Macaca mulatta: one gene and its partners. The protein of the gene in region 2 purifies or fractionates together with the protein of the main gene of each other region. This does not show direct contact. Links are inferred from orthologs where the notes say so. Each region holds a gene or a part of one and is shown on either strand. Other genes may lie near its edges. The genes, in order: FAM120A, RBM45 and KPNA1.

Region 1 (7,411 bases), on a different chromosome or scaffold from region 2:
GATACCACAAGTCATATAGCAGAAACATTTATGAAAGCTCCAGTGACCAAGATTTTAAAATAAACATAAGTCATTTACTGAAGTTTCAAAGGTTATAATGACCCAAAGCACACAACAGGAAACTGTCCAAGTAACTAGCTAAAACCAAGTTCAAATTAGGCTATTTCAGGACCTATCCAAAACTAGTCAATACACAGGCCAACGTATTATTACTATTTTCATTGTTCTGGCTCTCCTTCCACGTAGACCAACTTCTAATGGTTAAAGAAATACAATTACTACTACTGAACAAAAAATACAATTATTACTCTGTAAATGAAATAAACTCTAAGTCAAAAAAGATTTCTCCTGGCCGGGCACAGTGGCTCACACCTGTAATCCCAGCACTTTGGGAGGCTGAGGCGGGTGGATCACGAGGTCAGGAGCTCAAGACCAGCCTGGCCAAGATGGTGAAACCCCGTCACTATCAAAAACACAAAAATTAGCCGGGCATGATGGCAGACACGCCTGTAATCCCCGTTACTAGGTAGGCTGAGTCAGGAGAATCGCTTGAACCTAGGAGGTGGAGGTTGCAGTGAGCCAAGATCACGCCACTGCACTCCAGCCTGGGCAACACAGTGAGACTTCATCTCAAAAAAAAAAAAAAAAAGATTTCTCTAAGCAAGGGTAACAAGAAATTATGCCCCTCCGCCAATTTACGAAACACGAGAAAGCACCAGTAAGATGCTTAAAGTTTTCATAAATGTCTCATTTACCCAATATTATATATACTGAAGTGTTCATGTCAATTCCTTTGCCAGTGGTTTTTACTTAATTTTAAAAAAATTACCATACGATAAAATTAACACGTTTACTTTGGATGAATCATTCTGATTTTAATGTATGGTAGCATCACCACCATCAGAATACAGAACAGTTCCATCACTCCACAAAGCTCTCTCCTGCTGTCCCCTTAATGTGTACATCCTTCCTCTCCTCTACTCTCAGCACCACTGAATTGGTCCCCATCACTATAGTTTTATAATCATCCCTTTTGAACCTGGCTTCTTTCACTCAGTATAAAACCTTAATTAAAGATTCATGCAAGTTGTTACCTACACCTTCCTTACTATTGCTAAGCAGCATTCTATAGTATGGCTATACAGTAGTTTAACCATTCACTTATTAAAAGATATTTTGTTTCCACGTTTTGGCTATTATGATTTAAGCTGCTATGGACATTTGAGTACGAGTTTCTGCGCAAACAAAAGTCTTCATTAGGAAAATACCCAGGAGTGGAATTGCTGGATGGTATGATAAATGTATGCTTAACTTTATAAGAAACTGCCACTGTTTTCTGGGGTGGCGGTGCCATTCTGCATTCCCACAAGCAATGTGTAAGGATCCAGTTGCTCAGCATTCTTGCTAGCACTTGGTATTGCTCAAATTTTTTTCTCTTTTAGCCATTCTAATAGGCCTGTAGTGATACCTCATCATGGTTTTAAACCTTTTAACCATTTTATGGGTATATTTTGTTAAGTGGTATACGCTGTTTCGATCCCTTAAACAGAGAATGCTGAATATTAATTGTTATGACTCCCAATCATCCTTACAGAAAACACATTGTACTACCCTCAGGGACCACTGAAGTACATAGGGTTGTTCTCCTTTTCTTAAAATAGCCCCAGAATCATGTTTGCTTTTTATAGCTTTTTAAATCTTCACTCTTGTTGTCACTTCTTGCTATTAATGGTGCTCCTGCCTCTGGCAGACTCTCCTCTTCACCCTCTTCTCAAGCTGAGTTTAGAAAATAGATAACCAAGCTTGTTAGAATTACATCTAAAAAGAGACCAGTCCGTGAGTGAGAGAGCTTAAAAGGATTTTTCAGTGAGGAAAGTAAAGGCACCCCCCCACGCCCGCCACCCCCCACAACTTCCTGACATCTTGCTTGGTTGCTGAGAAATTTCTAGTAGCTAAATCTCTCAGGCACTTTTCAAAAAAGTAAGGTTGCCAGCTAAGAGACCACCAAGTAATCGAGTCATTACAATATTCATTTTGTGCAATTTACACTATAATATGATCCTAGCTCAATAATTAAAAGCTTAGCAAAAGCAAAATATAGACAAAATTATCCCGTGTCCAGAAACCTAAGTGAAAAAGACGATCTGAAATGGAGCTTAAATCTAGTTTCCAAACACTTACACATTGGTCTGAATTCTGAGCACCTACTAGGTGTGCGAGGCATTCAAAGGGGTGCAAAGATAAAGAAACTGTAGAATTAAAAAGAACTCAACAGTTCTTTAAAGATACAGTGACCATATGCATACACACTGATTCTAATCCTAAGTAATATTCAGTGTTCCCTTGAAACTCGCCTGACTAGTTAAGTAGATAGCTGTGCGGTTACCAAAGGCAAGTGCAGCCCATCCTGTCTTTTAAGTAGTCTTTTCCATCTCTGAACAAGACCAAACTTTGAACACTTTTACGCTCTATTAGGAAGATGGATCGCTTCAGACAAATGGCAGCACCTTACTTCCCTGAGCGCCCCAGGCTCCGATTCAGAAATTACTAGGCAGGCACTTCCTCTCACCCGAACTTCCCTGAGGAATGGCAGCTGTGTGTCTGCCAGGCGCAGGGGCCAATCGGGACTCTGCCGGCCGCCTCCACCCACGACTTAAACACCATCTCACCAATTGCAACCGGATCGTGGGTGGGACTTCCGCTATCATTTTAGGCTTAACTACCACCATCTCCTCGCGGGCACCGGGGGCAACCGCGAAGACAGAATTTCACAAACTTTCAGCTCCAGCAGTTTCAAGGAAATGTCAAAGAATGACAAGATGGAAGGCAGAGTGGCGAGAGCTAAGACACCAAAAAGGCCCCCAAAATTTGTTTTCAAGAAAACCAATGAAAAAAGCAAGCAATCAGAACGTGAAGTCCAGGATCATGTCTGTGCTTATCTCCACAGTCACTGCTGGGTCCTGAAGTTCTCCTCTGGCCCAGTGCCAGCTGCGGAACCCTCTGCCAAAGGGCCAGAGGAGGCCGGTGATGTAGAGCTCTGATTACCCACCCGTCAGGGCGCCGCTGAAGGTCACTGAATACTTACTGTGCACCCGAAAAATAAATCCTGCGAGTTCACGCCCCGTGTAGCTCGCCCCCTGACTTTGAAGGACTCCTTTCGCGTGGGATCTACAAAACCGAACTGCCTTAAAGACCTCTTTCACACCGACGTGAAGTCACAGAACTGACAAATCCCATCCTGTCAAAGTGCACGGTTCTTTGAAATCTAACACAAAAAGTCATAGAAAGATTCTCTAAACACCCTGTACTAAGAGGAACACGGACAGGGCACTGCGTTCTGAAGTAGAGGCCAGGGCACTGGCCCTTAGACACGTCTCGCTGTCACCGGGCTAACAGCATTGGCAAGGGCGGCGGCGGCAGCAGTGATATCTGCAGCCCCCGAGGGCCCTGGCGAAACCCCCTCTATTACTCTGTATCCTGCTTGCTTCCGAGATGAACCTGTTGCTGGGAAAGAACAGGCTAAATTAGAAAAGGGAGTCATATTTTGTCAAAGTTGAAGGTGAGTGATAGCCTGCCCGCCCCCACAGGACGGGAAAAACTAAGGATATTCGGGATGATGACACTGCCGCCTCCGAATTCTGGTCCGGTGCTCTCTCCCAGCCCTCAGGTGTCCCCACGCGGCCGTGGACCCCGAACAGGGACAGCTGGAGGCGGGCTTGGGCAGCGCGCGGCCTGCACCCGCGGCCATCCATCTTGCGGCCCGGCCCGGCTATCCCGAGCCAGGGCAGGGGGAGCTCGCTGCCCCCAGCGCCGCCACGGCCGGGCGACATTCTGTGCCCTGGGAAGGGGCATAGGGGTGCGGCGCGGCCCCGGTCCCCGGCCCGCCCGGATCCCCGGCCTCACCTTGACGTGGAAGCGGATGAGCGCCAGGCGGATGCAGTGGGCCATGCAGACGGGCGGCAGGAACCAGACCTTGGGCGGCGGGGTGCCCTTGTTCTGGACATGGCTGACGATCTGCTGTGCCGTCTGGCGCTCGTTGCCCTGCCGCTTGACCCACTCGTGCAGCCGGGCCTTCTCGAGCGCGCCGTTGAAGAAGACGAAGAGCTCGATGTTGCCGCCGAAGCAGGCCTTGGCCAGCGCCGCCAGGTAGCCAAGCATGTGGTTCCACTGGCCGCCGCTGACCCAGTCGGTGTAGAAGCCACCGTAGAGGCGGTGCAGGCAGTTGTCGGCGTCCACCAGCAGGCGCAGCGGGGTCTGCGGGGGCCGCTGCCGCCCGCCGCCCACCAGGCTGCCCCGGGCCAGCTTCTGCAGCTCCACCGGCACCACGGCGCTCGGGCAGTGCTTCTCGATGTAGTCCTGGAAGCCCTGCACGCCCATGGCGGCGGCGGGGGCGCGGGCGCGGGTGCGGGCGGGGGGCGGCGGGGCCGGGGGCGGTGGGGCCGTGGCGCGCGGGCGGGCGGGCGGGCGGGGGCGGCGGCCTCTAGGGGGGACTGGGGCGGGTCGGGGGCGCGCTCATGGCCGCCGCGGCCGCCATGTGCTGCCGCCTCCCAGGGCCATGTCTGGGGAGGGACCTGCCGCCGCCGCCGCTGCCGCCGCTGCGAGGCCGAGGCCGAGGCCGAGGCTGAGGGCCGGGGCGGGGCGGGCGGGCGGCGCTGACGTAGCGGACCCGCCCGGCGCGGACGCCGCCCAGGCCCGCGCAGGCCCGCCGGCGAGCAGGCGGAAGAGGCGGCGCCGGCGGGACGCGGTTCGGGGCTCCCGGAGGCGGCTGCGGCGGAGGCGGAGGCCGGGAGTCGGGCCGGGGCGGGATCCAGGGGGCGCCTGAGCCGGAGCAGGCCGCGCCTGGAGGCCACAGGCCGCTCGCCCGCCTCAGGCCCGTCGGCCGCCGCTCCCCTCCTGGCGGCCTGTTCCCCGCAGGACCAGAGAGGCCGCCGCCGCCGCCCGGCGGTACTCCGGCGAGGGAAAGCCGCGAAGCAGGTCCTGGGGAAGAGCTCGCCTGCTCCTGAGGGAAGCGGCGATAAGATGGAGCTTTGAGGGTGAGCCGGAGGCCGAATTACTCTGCTCGTCGGGACGCAGCCTTTCTAACGCCACGGTGGGCTCGCACCGCTCTGGGCCTGCTGCCCACACTGACTGCGGGGTCCGGGGGAGCGGGATGCTGGCCGGCCGCGCCGGGCTTCTTGGAAAGAGCAGGAAGGAGCGCGAGAATGCAGTTCCGCGGCAGGTGCTCATCCCAGCAGCTTCGGGCTCTCGGTTGTAGTGGTTTTTACACCTATGACAAATGACATGGCCAAACGCACCATAATGTCTGAAGGTACAGGTAGTCCTAAGCGCCTGCTCGTCACGGAAGAGACTGTCTTGAGAGCACAGGTCTGTTGCAGCGTGGAAAGCCTGCGTTCCCACTGCGGAATGGCCAGGCTGAAACGTGCGCCTTTGCAGTGGGTCGCCCTGCCCTTCTTAGGGAGAGGGATTTAAATCTTGTTGGTTTAGTAGCATCTTCTGGAAGGAGGTCGTTTACGTAAATTCTGTTCCTAAGCGCTGTCGTAATTGCTTCTAAAATGAGGTTGATACTGTATGTATATTAGGCTTGCATAAAACATTTTCAAAAAGAGATTAATGCCTTTCAGAATATAAATTTAGAAACCCAGCACAAAAGTTTTAAAGTGCCGCTTTTACTTACTTTCACCTCTCCATCTGTTCTTTTTCTGGAGAAACCTCTGTAGAGGAGCAGGATGCAACCGACAGGCTGTGGCCGGACAGCCCCTTCCCAGCACATGGAGCCTGCACGCGCACGATTTGGTCAAAGAAGCCCCCATACTCCCGGTGAAAAAGGCAAGTTTGATTTTTCTGCTTTCTTTTCTGATAGCCACGTCAGATACAAGCCAGTATCATATATACATAAATTAAATGCTGTTGGTATTTTAAGAAGTTACATTTAAAAACAGACTGACAAGTTATGCCACTCACTTATGCATCAAATTAGTCACAAAGCCAGGATGACATGTTATCTAGAAATAACACAGGCCAGGTGCGGTGGCTCACGCCTGTAATCCCAGCACTTTGGGAGGCCGAGGCGGGTGGATCATTTGAGGTCAGTAGTTCGAGACCAGCCTGGTCAACATGGTGAAACCCCGTCTCTAGTAAAAATGCAAAAATTAGCCGGGCCTGGTGGTGTGCGTCTGTAATCCCAGCTACTCGGGAGACTGAGGCAAGAGAATTGCTTGAACCCGAGAGGCAGAGGTTGCAGTCAGCACAGATGGTGCCACTGCACTCTCTAGCCTGGGCATCAGAGCTAGATTCCATCTCAAAAATAAATAAATAAAAGAAATAATACAGTTAGCCATTAAATAATAAGGTAAAATCCAGAAATATCCAAATTTCCTTCTATAACCCAAGGCAGGTTCACAAGGTGAGGAGTAGTAGTTTTTAATCACTTGTATTTTCATTCATAGCATTGCATTCCATGTATTTACCTTTTCTTTAAATACTCTTGCTTTTAATTTTTAAAAATGCATTAGTACGGCCGGGCGTGGTAGCTCACGCCTGTAATCCCAGCACCATTGGGAGGCCGAGGCGGGCATATCACAAGGTCAAGAGATCGAGACCATCCTAGCCAACATGGTGAAACCCCACCTCTACTAAAAACACAAAAATCAGCTGAGCGTGGTGGCGCACACCTGTAGTCCCAGCTACTCGGGAGGCTGAGGCAGGAGAATCGCTTGAACCCGGGAGACGGAGGTTGTAGTGATCATGCCACTGCACTCCAGCCTGGCAACAGAGCGAGAGTCCATCTCAAAAAAAAAAAAAAAAAAAAATGCTAGTGCCAGTATCTGAAATTCTGGAAATAAATTTATTTTCACCTTATTACATTGTAGAGTTCTAAGGTTCTGGAGTCAGACCCCCAGCATCTGTCTTTTGATAAGTCTGTGCCGTTGCAAAAATATTTACCCTGTTTGAACCTTGAATTTTATCATCTGTAAAATCAACATATTAATAGTACTTAACCTCCCAGGTTGTTTTAAGGATTAAATCAGATAATCTGTGTGCCTACCACACAACAAATGCTCAATAAATGTTGACTTTTGTAGTTATTTCCAGAAACTGTATTTGTCTAGACTTATACTCGAGAACATAGACCAGTTATTGTACTTTTGGAAAGTTTAAAATTCATTATTGTATCATAACACATAAAACTCAATTCTTAGTTGCCCTATTTAGCTGTGTGTTCTTTTTTTTAAAAAAAAAAAAACACTTTTTTTGTTGAGTAACTATTGATGGCAGGCAAAATATTTAGCTGACAAACGCTTATATACTCTGCATTCTCAGCTCAAATTCGGGGGTTGTTTGAAGTTAAATTGCTTAAATGTTGAGGTAAAAATAAACATCTATGTTTAAAATTTAATCAAAAGTTATGTCT
Region 2 (7,489 bases):
TATTTTCCAGTTTTTATATATTCTTTAATTTTGAAAACTAATTTATGCTAGGTTTAATATTTAAAAAGTAGATTGAAATTGATGAAAACAGTTATATAATTCCCCACGACTACTCTATTGACCTTATTCCAATGACACTTCAGATTTAGTACCCATACAACCTGTATAGGACTATGAGTTATCACATATGCTAGCTGATTAGAATAAGTACCTTAAATTTTTCCCGCAGATCTTCCTCTGTGTAGGACTTTGGTATCATAACAAAGATTCTTGTAAGTTCTTCATCTTCAACATCTCGGTGACTTCCAGATGATCGGGACTGTGCAATGAAAACCTAAGAAACAAACAAAACTCCCAAAATAAAATAATGTCAACTATTTTCCCATTTCTTAAATTTTTTTCAAAAGCAATTATTCTTGCAATGACTTTTTATTTATTTATTTTTTTTGAGATGGGGTCTCGCTGTGTCACCCAAGCTGGAGTGTAGTGGTGTGATCATGGCTCACTGCAGTTTCAACGTTCTAGGCTCAAGTGATCCTCCCACCTCAGCCTCCCAAGTAGCTGGGACCACAGACACATACCACAACACCCAGCTAATTTTTTAACATTTATAGAGACAAGGTCTTGCTATGTTGCCCAAGATGGTCACGAATTCCTGGGCTCAAGTGATCCTCCCACTTTGACCTTCCAAAATGCTAGGATTACAGGTGTGAGCCACCGTGCTGGGCCTGCAATGACTTTTTTTTACGAGCTAATACCAATCTCTGCATTGTTTGTTTCCCAAATGTATTTCTACTTTTGCATTTGTTTTAGCCAGAGCAATTTGAATAAATGTAATATAATAAATTAAAACACCATAAACAAGGGTCCTTGCATTGTTTGTTTCTCTTTCCTTTAAAGGGGTCTCTATATCTTGGTCTCTAATCCACTGCTGGTAAAGGGGGCTCTATATCATCCAAGCATGAAAAAACTGGAACTTATGAAATTCCAGAGTAGGAAGCAGCAACTAAGAAAACCACAGTATTAGAGACATATCCCTTTATAGTCTACTTCTAGTTATTCCTACAGTAAATCTATGCTATATGTCAAGCACTATATGAGTACAACTATTGAGTAACACAGAAATGGCCCACTAGAGTTTTGTGGCTGATATCAGTAATAAATGGTAAATAGGGAAATACAAATAGGGAAGCTTTAAGTATATGCAAAGACATTAGAGAAAAAAAAAAAAGAATCTCAGGTAAGATGAAATTGGAAGTGCCATCAGAACACAGATTTCTACATTTTAGAGGACTGAGGTGTTTCAAATCTCTGACAAAGGAGACAGTCTATGTAGAATGTATGTAAAATAATTAACCTCCTCATGGTAGATTTCTCCCATAAATTTTCACCTTCAAAGACTATGAGCGTTCATAGGCTCTAGATAAGAAGCATTCTTGCAAAACTAAAGCCAAGATTTTTTTCTTCTGTTTTCTAGGTTTCCCCCTTTCCGCCAGATAAATAGTTGGTCACAGAATAACTTTTACTTGGACAATCTTTTCTGGCTGAGGCCTGGTATGATAATATTCTTGTGTTATAGATCCTCTGAAACTTTGCAAAAGCAAAGTACGATAGAAATACTGAAGCTGAAGTAATTTAACTGGAAATGCTGAAAACAACACAAGAGTGTTCCAGTCGAAGATGGCTCGAGCTGCAGCTGCTGAATGAAACTAGGCTGTTAGGGTGTGGTGGCTCACAACTGTAATGGGAGGTTGAAATGGGAGGATCGCTTGAGCCCAGGAGTTTGAGACCTGCCTAGGTAACATAGTGAGACCCTGTCTCTATGAAAAATAAAAAAATTAGCTGGGCATGGTGGTGCACATCTGTAGTCCCAGCTACTTGAGAGGGAGGATGAGGCAAGAGGATTGCTTGAGTCTGGGAGGTAGAGGCTACAGTGAGCTGTGATCAAGAAGCCACTGCACTTTAGCCTGGGTGACACAGCGAGATTCTGTCTCAAAAAAAAAAAAAAAAAAAAAAGAAAGAAAGAAAACAAATGAAACTAGACTGTCTAGCTAGGTACTACAGTGAAACAACCTTCTGGCTAAAACTGAATAGTCAAAAATGTGACAAAGAAAATAGTAGTTTATTTCTTTTTGGGAACAAGATCTTTAATTTCTCTGCAGCTAAAAGAGAAGGTACATTTCAGTGCTGGGCCTTTAATTTCTCTTGTAGAAATTTATCAGGGGAAGGTGGTCCACCAATTTCAAATATGGCACCTTTTCTTGGGTTGTCCACATGGGCTCTGTGGCCATGTTACACTCAAAATATAAAAACCCTCTCCACTAAGGTCATAATTGGACAGTGATGAAACACATCAGTCTACTACAGAGGTCAGCAAACTACAGCTCCATTTTTGGTATAGCCCATGATGTAAGAACTGTTTTTACAGTTTTTAAGGACTGTAAAAACTGTCCTTAAAAACTGTAAAAACAGACAAGGATTTGTGACAGAGACTGTATGTGGCCCACAAAGCCTAAAATATTTACTAGCCAGCCCTTTACAGAAAAAGTTTGTCAACTCCTGATCCTGTATGCTGTGACCCTAAATTAATTTTGTTGCTCTCCTATTCTGACACACTTCAGAGGGTTGGAGAGGTGGGAGGAAGGGACTGTTTACCGTGTTACTGGTATATTCCCAGGCTCCTTCTCTTTTGTGCATGGAGCAAGACCTCCAGAGACTGAAGTATCTCTGAGTCCTTTATTTACATAAGTCCATAATAATACCATTCTCAATTTGGAAAACAATTTTTTTAAAAATTGAGAAAATATTTTTGTGCAAAGTACCAACAGAATAACATACATAGCAACTATTTACACGGGGCAGACGAAGGGTACAATTTAAGCAATTGCCAGATTCTCAGGACTGAGTCCTGATTTGAGATCACAGGGAGTAAGCAGTGACATCTTGGCTATTACCGATCAACAACAAGGACATATTGAGGGCTTACCCTGTGCGAGGCACTGTGCTGAAAGCACAGATTATGTCAAATAACCCTCAAAATGATCCTTCCTGACATGTGTCATTATCACAATGATTTGGCTCTTCTTAAGGCAGTTTACTTTGGTCTGCTTTCAAAGAAAATTTGCAGTAACAGAAAGGGTCAAGAACCAAATGTATGCTATTAACACTTTCAGAAACAGAGCTCGTTCAAAATAATCTTCCAAAACAACAAAATGTGATGAATATGTAACAGTGACCGTTTTAAACACCTGCACTTAGTATTATATACATGTATTCTTTTGTCTGGTACTGGGAAAACGTCCAACACCAGAGGTCCCCAGTTTAAAGTACTTTTGTCAAGTTGTTAACACCTCATCTCTACCTGAGGAAAAGCAGAGTTTTTCCGTTTGTTATAATGGAAATTCTGGGCATCTGAGAGAAGAAGGTCAGAAAAGTACTCAAAGTAGGCTAGGACGAGTTTGGCAGTGAACTCAAGAGCTGGTGGATTAGTGAGGGCGAGGGAGAGAGGACGCCCAGCCACTGCTGTTCTGTCACCCGGTGGCCGCGGTTGCCTGGTCCGCTCTCGGGGGGCAAACATTCCGCTTCCCGTCCCCTTCCCTGCAACCCAGCGCAGCTTCGTGGGAGGGGAGCCTCTCCTCAAAGCAGCCCCTGTCCCTACACCAGGTGCTGTCTGGTCAGCTGCCGGGAACGGATGTTCCACTCCTCCCTCACCCCGACAGAGCGGCAGGTGAAGGGAGGTCCGAAAGGCCCACTCCTTCCCCCGAGGGCACCCCGACCCGGGCACCCGCACCTTGATGGGCTTGGTGTCGTTGGGGCCGAGGCACTGGCCATGCATCTCCTCCATGGCCCTGCAGGCCTGTGAGCTGCGGGCGAACTTGACGAAAGCAATGCCCTTGGATTCCTTAGTGTGCTTGTCCCGCACCACCCAGATGTCCTGGATGTCGCCAAAAGGCGAGAAGCGCTCCCTCAGCACCGACTCAGGCGTGTACTTGCTGATCACAAGGAAGATGCGGCTGTTGGGCGGTTCGTCCAGGCTGTCCACGCCCGGGCGGAAGCCCCCGCCGCTCGCAGAGCTGCCAGCTTCGTCCATGGTACTCCACCTGAATGCAAGAGCCTCAGTGCTCTTTGCTTCTGCGGTGTCTGCCACCACTGCTATCTCACACCGAGGCTTTGCGGGCTCGTTGCTCCGCTTCCGGGAGAGAGAGGAGTCCTGCGCCAGGCGCTGTCCAGCCGCGCAGGATGCGGCCTTCCGGGGAGCGGCCTGCAGCGCCCCCTGGCGACGCGGGGGACGCTGACGCAGTCTAAGTCTCCAACCCAGCTGAGCCTCAGCCCAAGTATCAATTGTGTAATCCTTGTTCCCTGCAGGCAGAAAAGCGCTGCCTACTGCACAGGCTTTCCCAACGCTGGCTTTACCCCACCCCTAAGGCCAAGGATTCTTTCCAGTGTTAAAGAAAAAATTATTCATGACACTCATTAGAGATGGTACAGGAAGGCCAACTTTGACAAAAGGAGACATGGTGATAGGTCCAGGGACAGCTGCAATGGGGTCTTGCAGTGGGAGAGAGAGATTGGACTGAATTTTGACTCTAATAAGGACACATTTCTAACCAAGAAGCTGGGTGGGAGGTCAGTGGATGGAAAATTACTAAGAGGGTACATCAGGGTTAAGGAGGATTCTGGCTAAACCAACTTGACAGGATACTTGCTGAAGGCAGGCCAGGGTGATTGATATCCATGGTGGTCAGATACTGGATTTTCACTACACTGATTCACTACACTGAATCTTGCTGAAATTGGATTCTACAAGGACAGACAGCCCAAGATCAAGCCTAGTCAAGCAGAGGACTCAGAGGAGCCTAACTAAGTTTTGGTCAAAGAGGAGAGTCCTTTGTCATCATCTTGATCATAAGCTCAATAGACAATCAATATAGGACAGAGTTCAAACTACACAGCATTAGAGTGGAAAGGAACATTTGAGATCATTCCATTTCAACCTCATTTGTTAGAGATGAGGAAACTGAGGCCTATAGCATAGCCAAAGTAATAGAGATAAAAGTACAGCTAAAACCAGAACTAACTTGGCCGGGAGTGGTGGCTCATGCCTGTGATTCCAGCACTTTGGGAGGCCGAGGCGGGTGGATCACGAGGTCAGGAAACCAAGACCATCCTGGCTAACACGGTGAAACTCCCTCTCTACTAAAAAAATACAAAAGAATTAGCCAGGCGTGGTGGCGGGCGCCTGTAGTCCCAGCTACTCAGGAGGCTGAGGCAAGAGAATGGCGTGAACTCAGGAGGCAGAGATTGCGGCACTGCCCTCCAGCCTGGGTGATAGAGTGAGACTCTGTCTCAAACATGAACAACAAAAAACCCAGAACTAACTCCATCTGTTGATTTACTCAACTTCTACAAACAACCCTGGGGTTGGAGGGCAGTGAGGGTGGACTGCTCACCTGTGGAACTAAGAGAAATCATAGAGTGCAAGCAAAGTGGGAAACGCCTTCTTGCTAACAGGCCTTAGAGGAGAGGTCAGAAATCCAGTAGAAATCCAGAAACAAGGTCTCGATTTAGCAGTGGCATTGGAATGAAGTGAAAGGAATAAACCCCTACGTAGACTGAGGGCAGAGTTCTTCAAATGAACAAGTTCTGGATGCTAAGACCTAGGTTGCTATGAAGTCAACCAGATAAATATTTACTGTGCTCCAACTATGTGCCAGGCTCCATGCCAGGAGCTAGATATATAATGAGGAAAAGGAAAGACATGTCCTGAGGGCTTGTTTTCCCCCACTGTGGAAATCTGACATGTAAATATATAATGCAAAGTAATGTCAGATCATGTTACATGGTTTTGCTACTGAATTGTGGGAGCTTGGACAAGTTACTTAATACTTGCAGCTTCAGTTTCCTTAACTGTAAAGTAGGAATAATATTACCTACTAAATAGGTAATACATATTATTTTATAGTTGCATTAGTTAAGCTTGATAGCCACCTAATATATGCAGGAGCATGACTATCAAGTTTAATTAATTCACCCATTCACTTAATAAGTATTTTTGACTATCTTATATGTGTTAGGCACTGTGTTATACTGAAGGGATGTAGTATTGAGCAAAATAATTACTCTTCTCCCCCACAGAGTTAATCATTTAGCCTTGTATAGTTATGCTCATATGAGATAATATATATAGAGTTCATAGTTTAGAGATCAAATGAGATAATATTTGTATAATGGCACAATCGAGATTAATTTTCTTGTTTCCTTTGACTATGGTATCCACTTCCCCACCCCTGATATTGTACAGTTGTGTGATGACTACTGAGAGTCAGGGATTGTGGGTTGTTACCCTGGATTTAGCACTAACAAGATTTTTATAATTTCTCCTTGTATTACATTCCATATCTGTAATGAGGGCTCTGTTTACCCTGAGGCTGAGCAACTCTAGGAAGTATCTTTTCTTAACTTTCCATTTCTCTTTATCCTATCCACAACAATCAAGGTAAATGAAAATAATTTGATAGTGTAATAATTTTGTTGATGAGAGGAAGTGCAAAGCAGTATTATTTGCAAACCAGTGCCATCTAGTGGAAAATGTGTAATTTTCTCAAATTGTTCTGACTGGGCAATCTCTATTCTTTGTGAAATAAGACTACTGATTGGTGTCCTGAAAATTTTAGGCTGTTATTGAGAACAGTTAATTTTTTTCTCAAAAAAAGATAAAAGATTCCATAAAACAAAACCAGGAACAGAAATATTGTAAAATGCCAGGAAAGCAAAATTTCTTTACTATTCAATTATGTGAAATATGACATATTCAAGGAAAATTAGAAATTTACTTATAAATTAAAAAATATAGTAAGTACATTTTCTTCATGACTTATGTATTTATTTTAAACAAATTTATTGAGATATAATTCTTCTCATTTTTCCTTTCTTTCTTTCTTTCTTTCTTTCTTTCTTTCTTTCTTTCTTTCTTTCTTTTTCTTTTTTTTTAAGGGATGGTGTCTCACTATGTTGCCTGGGGCAATCTTGAACTGGCCTTAAGTGATTCTCTTGCCTATGCCTCCCAAGTAGCTAGGATTACAGGAGAGACCCACCACACCCAGTGAGATCTAATTCTTACATCATACAATTCACTCATTTGATGTATTCAATTAAATCGTTTTTAGTACCTTCACAGCATTGTGCAAGCATCATCACAATCAATTTTAGAACGTTTCATCACTCAATGACCAAATTGTTACACTTCAAATCATAAAACCTTTGAACACGAATTACATGTAACTAAAACACCTAAAAATGTCTGAGGTTTAAAAGAATGATTTTTAGTTAGTCTGCTTAATAGAAGAAACCAGATGCTGGGCATTTGCAGATTAAATTTTTTTCAAGGCTTTAGAACATGTAGTCTATAAGGCACTGTTATTGGAATGTGCATACATGTTTGTTTCGCATGAAATTCAGATTTTTTTGAAACCTTTCTCCCTCAAATTTT
Region 3 (7,533 bases), on a different chromosome or scaffold from region 2:
TCAAACTCCTGGTGTCAAGTGATCCTCCCACCTCAGTCTCCTGAATAGCTGGGACTACAGGTGCGACTTACCATGGCTGACTAATTTTTTTGTGTGTTGAGACGGGGTCTTGTTATGTTGCCCAGGCTGGTCTGGAACTCCTGGGTTCAAGTGATCCTCCTGCCTCAGCCTCCAAAAGTGCTGGGATTACAGGCATGAGCCACTGTTCCCAGCCTGCTATTTTATTTAATTGCATTTATGCAACAGAAAAGAAATACAACAGAATACACAATTCTAAGTAAATATCTATTTTTCATGTTTTTATGTTCAAGTAATTTATATGTTAGATTGGCAAAAATGTAAAAAGCCAGACATTTCTAACTGTTAGCAAGTGAAGAGTATCTTATATACCGTTTATAGAGTACAAATGGGTACAATTACTTTATGAAATAATCCAGCAATGTCTAGTGTATTAGTTTTCTACTGTATAATAAATTACCATAAATATAGTATGTGAAGACACATTTATTATCTCACAGTTTCTGTGGACCAGGAGTCCAGGCACAGTTTAGCTGTTTCCTTTGCTCGGGATCTCACAAAACTGCTATCAAGGTGTAAGTCAGGCTGTCTTCTCATCTGGAGGCTGACCTCTCTCAGGGTGTTGGCAGAATTCATTTCCTTGTAGTTGTATGACTGAGGGCCCTGGCTTCTTACTGGTTGTCAGCTGGAGGCTGCACTCAAGTTCTAGAAGCCATCTGCAGTTCCCTGGCATGTGGTCTTCTCCATAGGCAGTTCACAACATGACAGCTTGCTTCTTCAAGGCCAGCAGCAAATCTCTAGCTCCAGTTTGGAAAGACAGTCTTATATAATGAAAAGGAATCATGGAAGTGACATCCTATCATCTTTGCCATATTCTGTTGGCTAGAAGTAAGTCAAAGGTCCCACCTACACTCAAGGGGTGGAGATTATATAGGCAACACCAGGGACCAGAGATTATAGGGGCCATCTTAGATTTCTATCTAATATATACAGTAAGGTTAAAGATGCAATGTCCTAGGATCTAGCAGTTTCCCTATACACAGTAGAGATGTACAAGAATGTTCATAGTAGCATTGTTTGTGATAACAAAAAATACTGTTCTATAATTTCAAATTTCTCAAAATATAAAATGATATTGTCAGAGAGACATTAGCTTATAAAACATCATGTACAGTAAGATAACACTTTTGTAAAAGTAACATACATAGGACTTCAACTTCCAGCAATGGCCTACTGTTGTTTTCAATCAACCTTTCCACTACAGAGAACAACTGGACAAAATATAAAAACGTTAATGTACTGAAGAGCTACCAAGGAAGTGAGAATTTGTGAGTGCAAGATCTGGAAGAAAAAGGAAGCCACCAGAGGTGAGCCTGATATTTGTCATCATTTTTCCAAAGCTAAGGTGATTGCTGACTCTGAAAGCAGTGGCTGAAAAAGTGAGCAGAGCCTATGGTTGTCTCATGGGCCTTAGAAGGCCCATCAAAGAGAAGAGGCCTGAGTAAATAGCCCAGACTTTTGGATGGGACCATCAAGGACTAGCTAGGATTAAGGGTGAACTGGAAATAAATTAGCTTTCCCGAAGACTGAAGACCAGCTCTGAATAATCAATCTTACCTCCTTATTGGAATAAGGTGATCTGTCTTCAGTCTAGCTGGGGTCAGGCAAACTTGCCCTTAAGTCTCTCCTGGTGAACACACCTTCCCTTTCCCCAGCCACATTGCTCAAACTCAACTCTGATCTTAGTAAACACATCGCGGGAGAATGCTGATGCAGCAGAGTGAAGTCCAGGACAAATGAACATTGCATAACCTAGGATTCAGGTAGAGTGGTCCTCTGTCTTCTCCTCTTCCCTGGGACATTTATAAATGTACTAATCTACCTCATCTCTTTTACCTTGCTTCTTGGCATATGTTTTAAATCTATCTACTATTCTGTGACCCCTGCTAGGCTGGCTTCAGTTTTTCTTTTGAAGCCACTACTCCATTTGCTCCCCCAAAGAATTCCATCAAATTTAACATTAACAATCATTTGCTCCAAGTTTTCGTTTGAGAGCACTTGAGAGTTAAACGAGTATTTGTGTTTCATGTAGTTTCTTAATTATTATTATTATTATTTTTTTTTTTTGAGGCAGGGTCTCACTCCGGTTGCCCAGGCTGGAGTGTAGTGGTGCGATCTCGGCTCACTGCAGCCTCATCGTCAACCCCGGGCTCAGGTGATTCTCCCACCTCAGCCTCCCCAGTAGCTGGGACTTCAGGCGCCCGTCACCACCCCCGGCTAATTTTTGTATTTTTAGTAGAGACGGGGTTTCGCGATGTTGCCCAGGCTAGTCTCAAACTCCTGGTCTCAAGTATTCCACCGGCCTAGGCCTCCCAAGGTGCTGGGATTACAGGTGTGAACCACTGCACCCGGCACTTAATTATTTTTGATACTACTCATACATTATCAAGCAAAGGGGATGGGACATAACTAAAAAAGGAATGTCCAGAAGCTTCTTGCATTCATACTGCATGTGAGCCCTTTAGACACGAGGCGCTGACCTACTAATTTTGTAATACTCCCTCAGTCTTCAATCATTCCATCATTCATTCCATCAACGCGTATTAGTTACCTACTTTGTTAGAAGCTATACAGAGGTGAACATCGATCCGCCCTGGAAGAGCTTAGCAAAGACAGGTTTGCACATATAACTTTCTCCAACCTTTGTTATGGTCTGCAAACCTCCTTCTTAGCGAGACCCTCTCCTCTCCCCGATCCCCGACTCTTCGCAGGCTGGGCGAGAATCGCTAGGAACGTGCGGCGAGAGAGCGTTACAAGACTACGTCTCCCGGCAGCCTCTGCGGCAAGCGCCGGAGGGGCGCGCGTAGGCGCTCGGGCCGGCCCCCGCACGCAGGCGCACTGCGAACGCCGGCAGAGCTGAGTCTTGCTGCTAGGTGCGCGGCGGCGGAGAGCGAGGCCTGCTGAGCACCGCCGAGGCGCGGGCCAGCTCTTCGAGGTTGTGCGCGGGGAGCGGCACGGCGGGCGGGCGAGCGAGGGCTCACTTCAGCGGTGGCACCGGGATCGGTTGCCTTGAGCCTGGTGAGTGCGGGGGCTTTGCGGCCCCGGCCCCTCCCCCTCCCGCCGGCAGATCCGGGCAGTCCGGGAGGGACTCGGGAGAGGCCCTGGGGCGAGGGCGGGCGCCGGCCGGGCCTCGAGCCGCGGTGCCTGGGCCCGGACGCTCGGCCCGCGTCCGTGCGTCACGGGCCCTGCTGTCCTAACGGCCGCGCGGCCGGCGGAGGAGAGGGTGGGGGTGGGGAGCCCTGGTGTGATCGCCATCGGGAACGCCGGTCGAGGCGGGGCGGGGCGGCGTGGCGCGGCGGCAGGGCTGTAAGCGGCGCCGGGGACTGCGGAGTGCCGAGGCAGCGGGCGGAGAGGAGGCGAGCGCGGAGCCTGCGCCGTGGCTGGGCGGCGGGCGGGAGGCGGAGGTGGGCCGTGCAGAGCGCTCTGACAGAGGCAGGAAGGAGCAGGGGTGGCGTGTAAAATTTCTAACCCTGGCAAGAAGGGACCGTCTTGGGAATTCACAAGTTACAGCCCGGGTCGGAGCCGGCGGCCCGGAGGGAGGTAGGGGAAGCGGGGCGGGGGCGCGGGGAGGTGGAGACGACCGGCTGCAGTTTACAGATGTCATAACAACAGGGGCCTGTAGCGGCTGATTGGGGGTGTGGTAATTACAGGAATGACAGAACTTGGTCTGCACACCGCGTGTTAAAGTGGCGATGCGAGGGAAACAGCTAGGTATCAGATTAAGCTCACAACTGGAGGATAAAACTGAAGGATGACTGGAGTCAAGGGAGTCGTCATGAAGTAATGTTTTTGGGATTGGGTCGTGTTCCACTTTTAAGTGAAAGCGTTCAAAATATTTCGTTTTTAAGGTTTCAACTCGGAACAAACGATTGCCGAATTTTTGTGTTTTAAAGAGATGGGGTCTCGCTATATTGCCTAGGCTGTACTCCCAACTCCTGAGCTCAAACTGGCCTCCTGCCTTGGCCTCCCAAGTAGCTGGGACTAGTCTCGGGCAACCACACCCAGCAATGCAGAGTATTTTTTTTTTTTCTGAAACGGGTACTGTCAAGTAATATTAACTTGAATTTCACCGTTTTTTCTTAAATAAACGGTTGCTTAAAAATCTCTATTAGTAGATAAGGTGATTTCCCCCCTCCTGTTTTTTTTTTCTTAAGAGATGGAGTCTAGCTTTGTTTCCCTGGCTGATCTGGAACTCCTGGCCTCAAGGCATCCCCCCCATTACCTGGAACTACAGGCGGGTGCCACCAACAAGGCTCATTCTCGACACTGTTTTTTTCTTAACTAGCTTTTGCATTTGTAATATTTTGAAAGCAGTCCACAAATTATTTTTCCCTCCTTTTTAAAGATTAAAGAGATGAAAATTTAATTTTTCAAAGGAAAGTAAGAATGAGTACTGTTGTATTTTTACTGAAATAATATATTCCTGGAAGGCACTGTTTTATGGATAGATGAGATGTAAGAGAAAGTAAAGGAATTAACATTTATTGAGTTCTTTTTCAGGTATTGTGTTAAATGCTTTATATATATATTAAAAACATTTAAATCTGAAATATCTGTTAATTTTTCTATTTTACAGATGAAAGCATTGACAATCAAATGTTAAGTAACTTACCTGAGGTCTTCTAGCTCTTATTGAGAACAACCTTAGAACCCAAAGTTACTGCCATTTAAATTATTTCTCTCCTTTCATACTTTTTCGTTGTGTTTTCTTTATTTAATCCGTTCAATCAGCGAATACTTATAGAGTGATCTTCTAGATTTGGAGGGATATAGTCGCGATCAAAACTCACTGTCACTGTTCTCATGGAATTTATAGTGTAGCGGGGAAAGCTAATATTACAAATATTGACTGCATAACATTTTATCAGTTATAGTTGAGTAGCAACTGTAAAGCACTCTACTAAATAGTAAAGGCAGTTGAAATGGAAGCAGACAACATAAGCCTTGAGGAATTTACAGTCCTGTAGGGCAACAAAACATACATTTATAAAAACCTAGAATAAACTAAATGGGAAAGGTATCACCTGAAATCACTGTTCTTGCATTATGTTATTTTTAATTTTATTATTTTTTGGGGGGGGTGTGGAGGACTTGCTCTGTTGCCCAGGCTGGAGTGCAGTGATGCGATCTGGGCTCCCTGCAGGCTCCCTGCAATCTCCGCCTCCTTGGTTCAAGCAGTTCTCCTGCCTGAGACTGCTGGGACTACAGGCGCATACGGCCACACCCGGCTAATTTTTTGTATTTTAGTATAGATGGGGTTTCACCGTCTTGCCCAGGCTGGTCTCGAACGCCTGAGCTCACGCGGTCCGCCCTCCTCGGCCTTCTGAAGTGCTAGGATTACAGGCATGAGCCACTGCGCCCAGCTGCATTATGTTACTTTATAAAGTGGTTCTCATAGAAGTTTCTTCACAGAACTATGATTTAATATACATCTTATCTAGAACTGATACATACCAAAAGGGGCCATGAAAAACATTTTCTTCATTTACATCTAATGAAGAAATTTCTAATTTATTTATTGGTTCCTATAAAATACAGACCTTGGAGACAAATTCTTCCTAAGACCCCAGTATTAAGCTTTTTTTTTTTTTTTTTTTAAAAACAGATGACTGGTTTTATTAGATTGTTTTGTAAGCCATCCTGTTTCTCCATACTTTTGACTGTCAGGAGGCTCAGAGCTGTGTTCAATTTTTATAATTTTCTTTAGTCTCAACTATGTTAAAAATTATTTTATACGTAATCTGGAATTGCTGTCAGTTGTTTCCTGGATTATTTTCTTTATTCTCTGTTGCTCTCGATGGTCCTTTTCCCTTTACATTTGAGAATAGGATTATATCCTATTGTTTTCATCTTCAGTGTTTTAGCAGTGTTTGTTGAATTAATGATAAAATAGAGTTTTAATGATTTATGAAGTCTGTGCTTTTAAGTCTGCCAGATTGTTTTTAGGTGTATGAATACTGTGTATAAAATCAATTAAGACCTTTGATTGGTCTTGCAAGTAAAGATGACTGACCTAGTGATAAAAGATAACGCCTTGTTTTGTTTTAAGGTATCTTTGTACTTTGCATGGTGTTATGAATTTAGCCATAATACGGAAGAAAACATTGGAAGTGGTGAATAGTTAATTAGCTGATTTGGGCTGATTTCTCTCTTTTGCTGTGGTAAGCAGGAGATGGCCTCAGGCCAACTGGAGACCAGATAGGGCCAGCATTAGAAAATTTTGGAAATTTTGGAAACATTGGAAGAGTAGGGATGAAGACTATGGGAATGTATGTTTCTTTCTTTTTTTTTAAGATGTTACAAATCTACAAAACAGAACATGAAAAAATGGTTCTGTCCAAGTGCTGTAGACTAATTGGGACAGTTCTTGAAAGCAGGCAGTAATCCAGAATGTGGATAATGGGGATAATCTCCTTCATATAACAACAGTAATGCTGCCCTTCATATACAAAGATAAGTCTGCTTATTCATCATGATTGATTTTCTAGTGTGAGGAGGGATATGTGCTGAGTTGTCCATGAGTCCCTATATAGTCTGTGAGCAGCGAGGCAGCTTGGGGTCAGAATAGGCGTTTGCAGCTAAGGAACAGAAAGACCTGCCGAAAATACTATCTGTTGATGGGTCAGGTTCTGCATCAGTTGCTTTCACTTAATTGTTCTTGCAAAACCATTTTGAGGTGGTGATTACGTGTGCAAGGTGATTGGGTAACTTGCCTTACTTCACAAAGTAGTGAAGTTGGGATTCAAGTAGGGCTGTTTGTACTGTGTTCACATTGATCGTTAAAGATTGGTTTTAGCCGTTCAGTCTCTTTGGCAAAACAAACTAGATGTAGTTTGTTTAACACCATGAAATAATACTGAAAATATAACCATCGTGAGATTGTTCAAGTTCCTTGTTTTGTCAACATTAAAAAAATAAAAATTTAAAATTAGAATACCTGAAAAAGCAGCTGTTCCTTGTCTCAGCCTCTGCACTTGAGAAGCTACCATTTTCTTTCTCCTGTTTCTTATGTTTGCTTTCATATTTACAAATACAGTGACTTGCTTTTACTGCTATTTCATGATACAGCAATTATAGATATTATTGGCTTTCTTCTAAGTAAGATGATCCTTAGTGTTTCACATATATATTCACCTCACCTGTCACATGCACACACTGACTCTGCCATCCTCCAAATATAGTTACAGGTGTTTATTAAACCAATATTTAGTGTTTACAATATTATAACTATATAAATGTTCACAGCTGACTCATGTAGAGTACTATGATATCATTTCTTCTCTTGATAAATTTTTGTTTTTCTAGAAGTTAGTATTTTTTGTTGTTGTTTGCTTCATTTTGTGAGACAGCTAACCTAGAACCTCTTAATGCAATTAGGACTAGTTACTTTCTAGTCCTATTTCATAGTTGTTTTCCTGGGACTTCTCTTTTCATCATCCTTAAAATTATTTGCCC

What was found.
Region 1: the proteins of RBM45 (region 2) and FAM120A purify together in Homo sapiens (co-immunoprecipitation; 3 studies listed by BioGRID and IntAct, with this or other methods). This does not show direct contact. The link is inferred for Macaca mulatta from reciprocal best matches to the Homo sapiens genes RBM45 and FAM120A.
Region 3: the proteins of RBM45 (region 2) and KPNA1 purify together in Homo sapiens (co-immunoprecipitation; 3 studies listed by BioGRID and IntAct, with this or other methods). This does not show direct contact. The link is inferred for Macaca mulatta from reciprocal best matches to the Homo sapiens genes RBM45 and KPNA1.

Annotation. Positions count from the first base shown.
Region 1 is NC_133420.1:124,034,250-124,041,660, reverse strand, and holds the start of FAM120A (constitutive coactivator of PPAR-gamma-like protein 1), read right to left. Parts: upstream 4,574-7,411; 5' UTR 4,378-4,573; coding exon 3,904-4,377; intron 1-3,903. Other genes in the region: uncharacterized protein FAM120AOS, read left to right, coding at 5,202-5,218, 5,706-5,826. UniProt on the Homo sapiens protein: Component of the oxidative stress-induced survival signaling. May regulate the activation of SRC family protein kinases. May act as a scaffolding protein enabling SRC family protein kinases to phosphorylate and activate PI3-kinase.
Region 2 is NC_133417.1:83,044,309-83,051,797, reverse strand, and holds the start of RBM45 (RNA-binding protein 45), read right to left. Parts: upstream 4,215-7,489; 5' UTR 4,091-4,214; coding exon 3,791-4,090; intron 335-3,790; coding exon 212-334; intron 1-211. UniProt on the Homo sapiens protein: RNA-binding protein with binding specificity for poly(C). May play an important role in neural development.
Region 3 is NC_133407.1:161,249,525-161,257,057, forward strand, and holds the start of KPNA1 (importin subunit alpha-5), read left to right. Parts: upstream 1-3,014; 5' UTR 3,015-3,096; intron 3,097-7,533. UniProt on the Homo sapiens protein: Functions in nuclear protein import as an adapter protein for nuclear receptor KPNB1. Binds specifically and directly to substrates containing either a simple or bipartite NLS motif.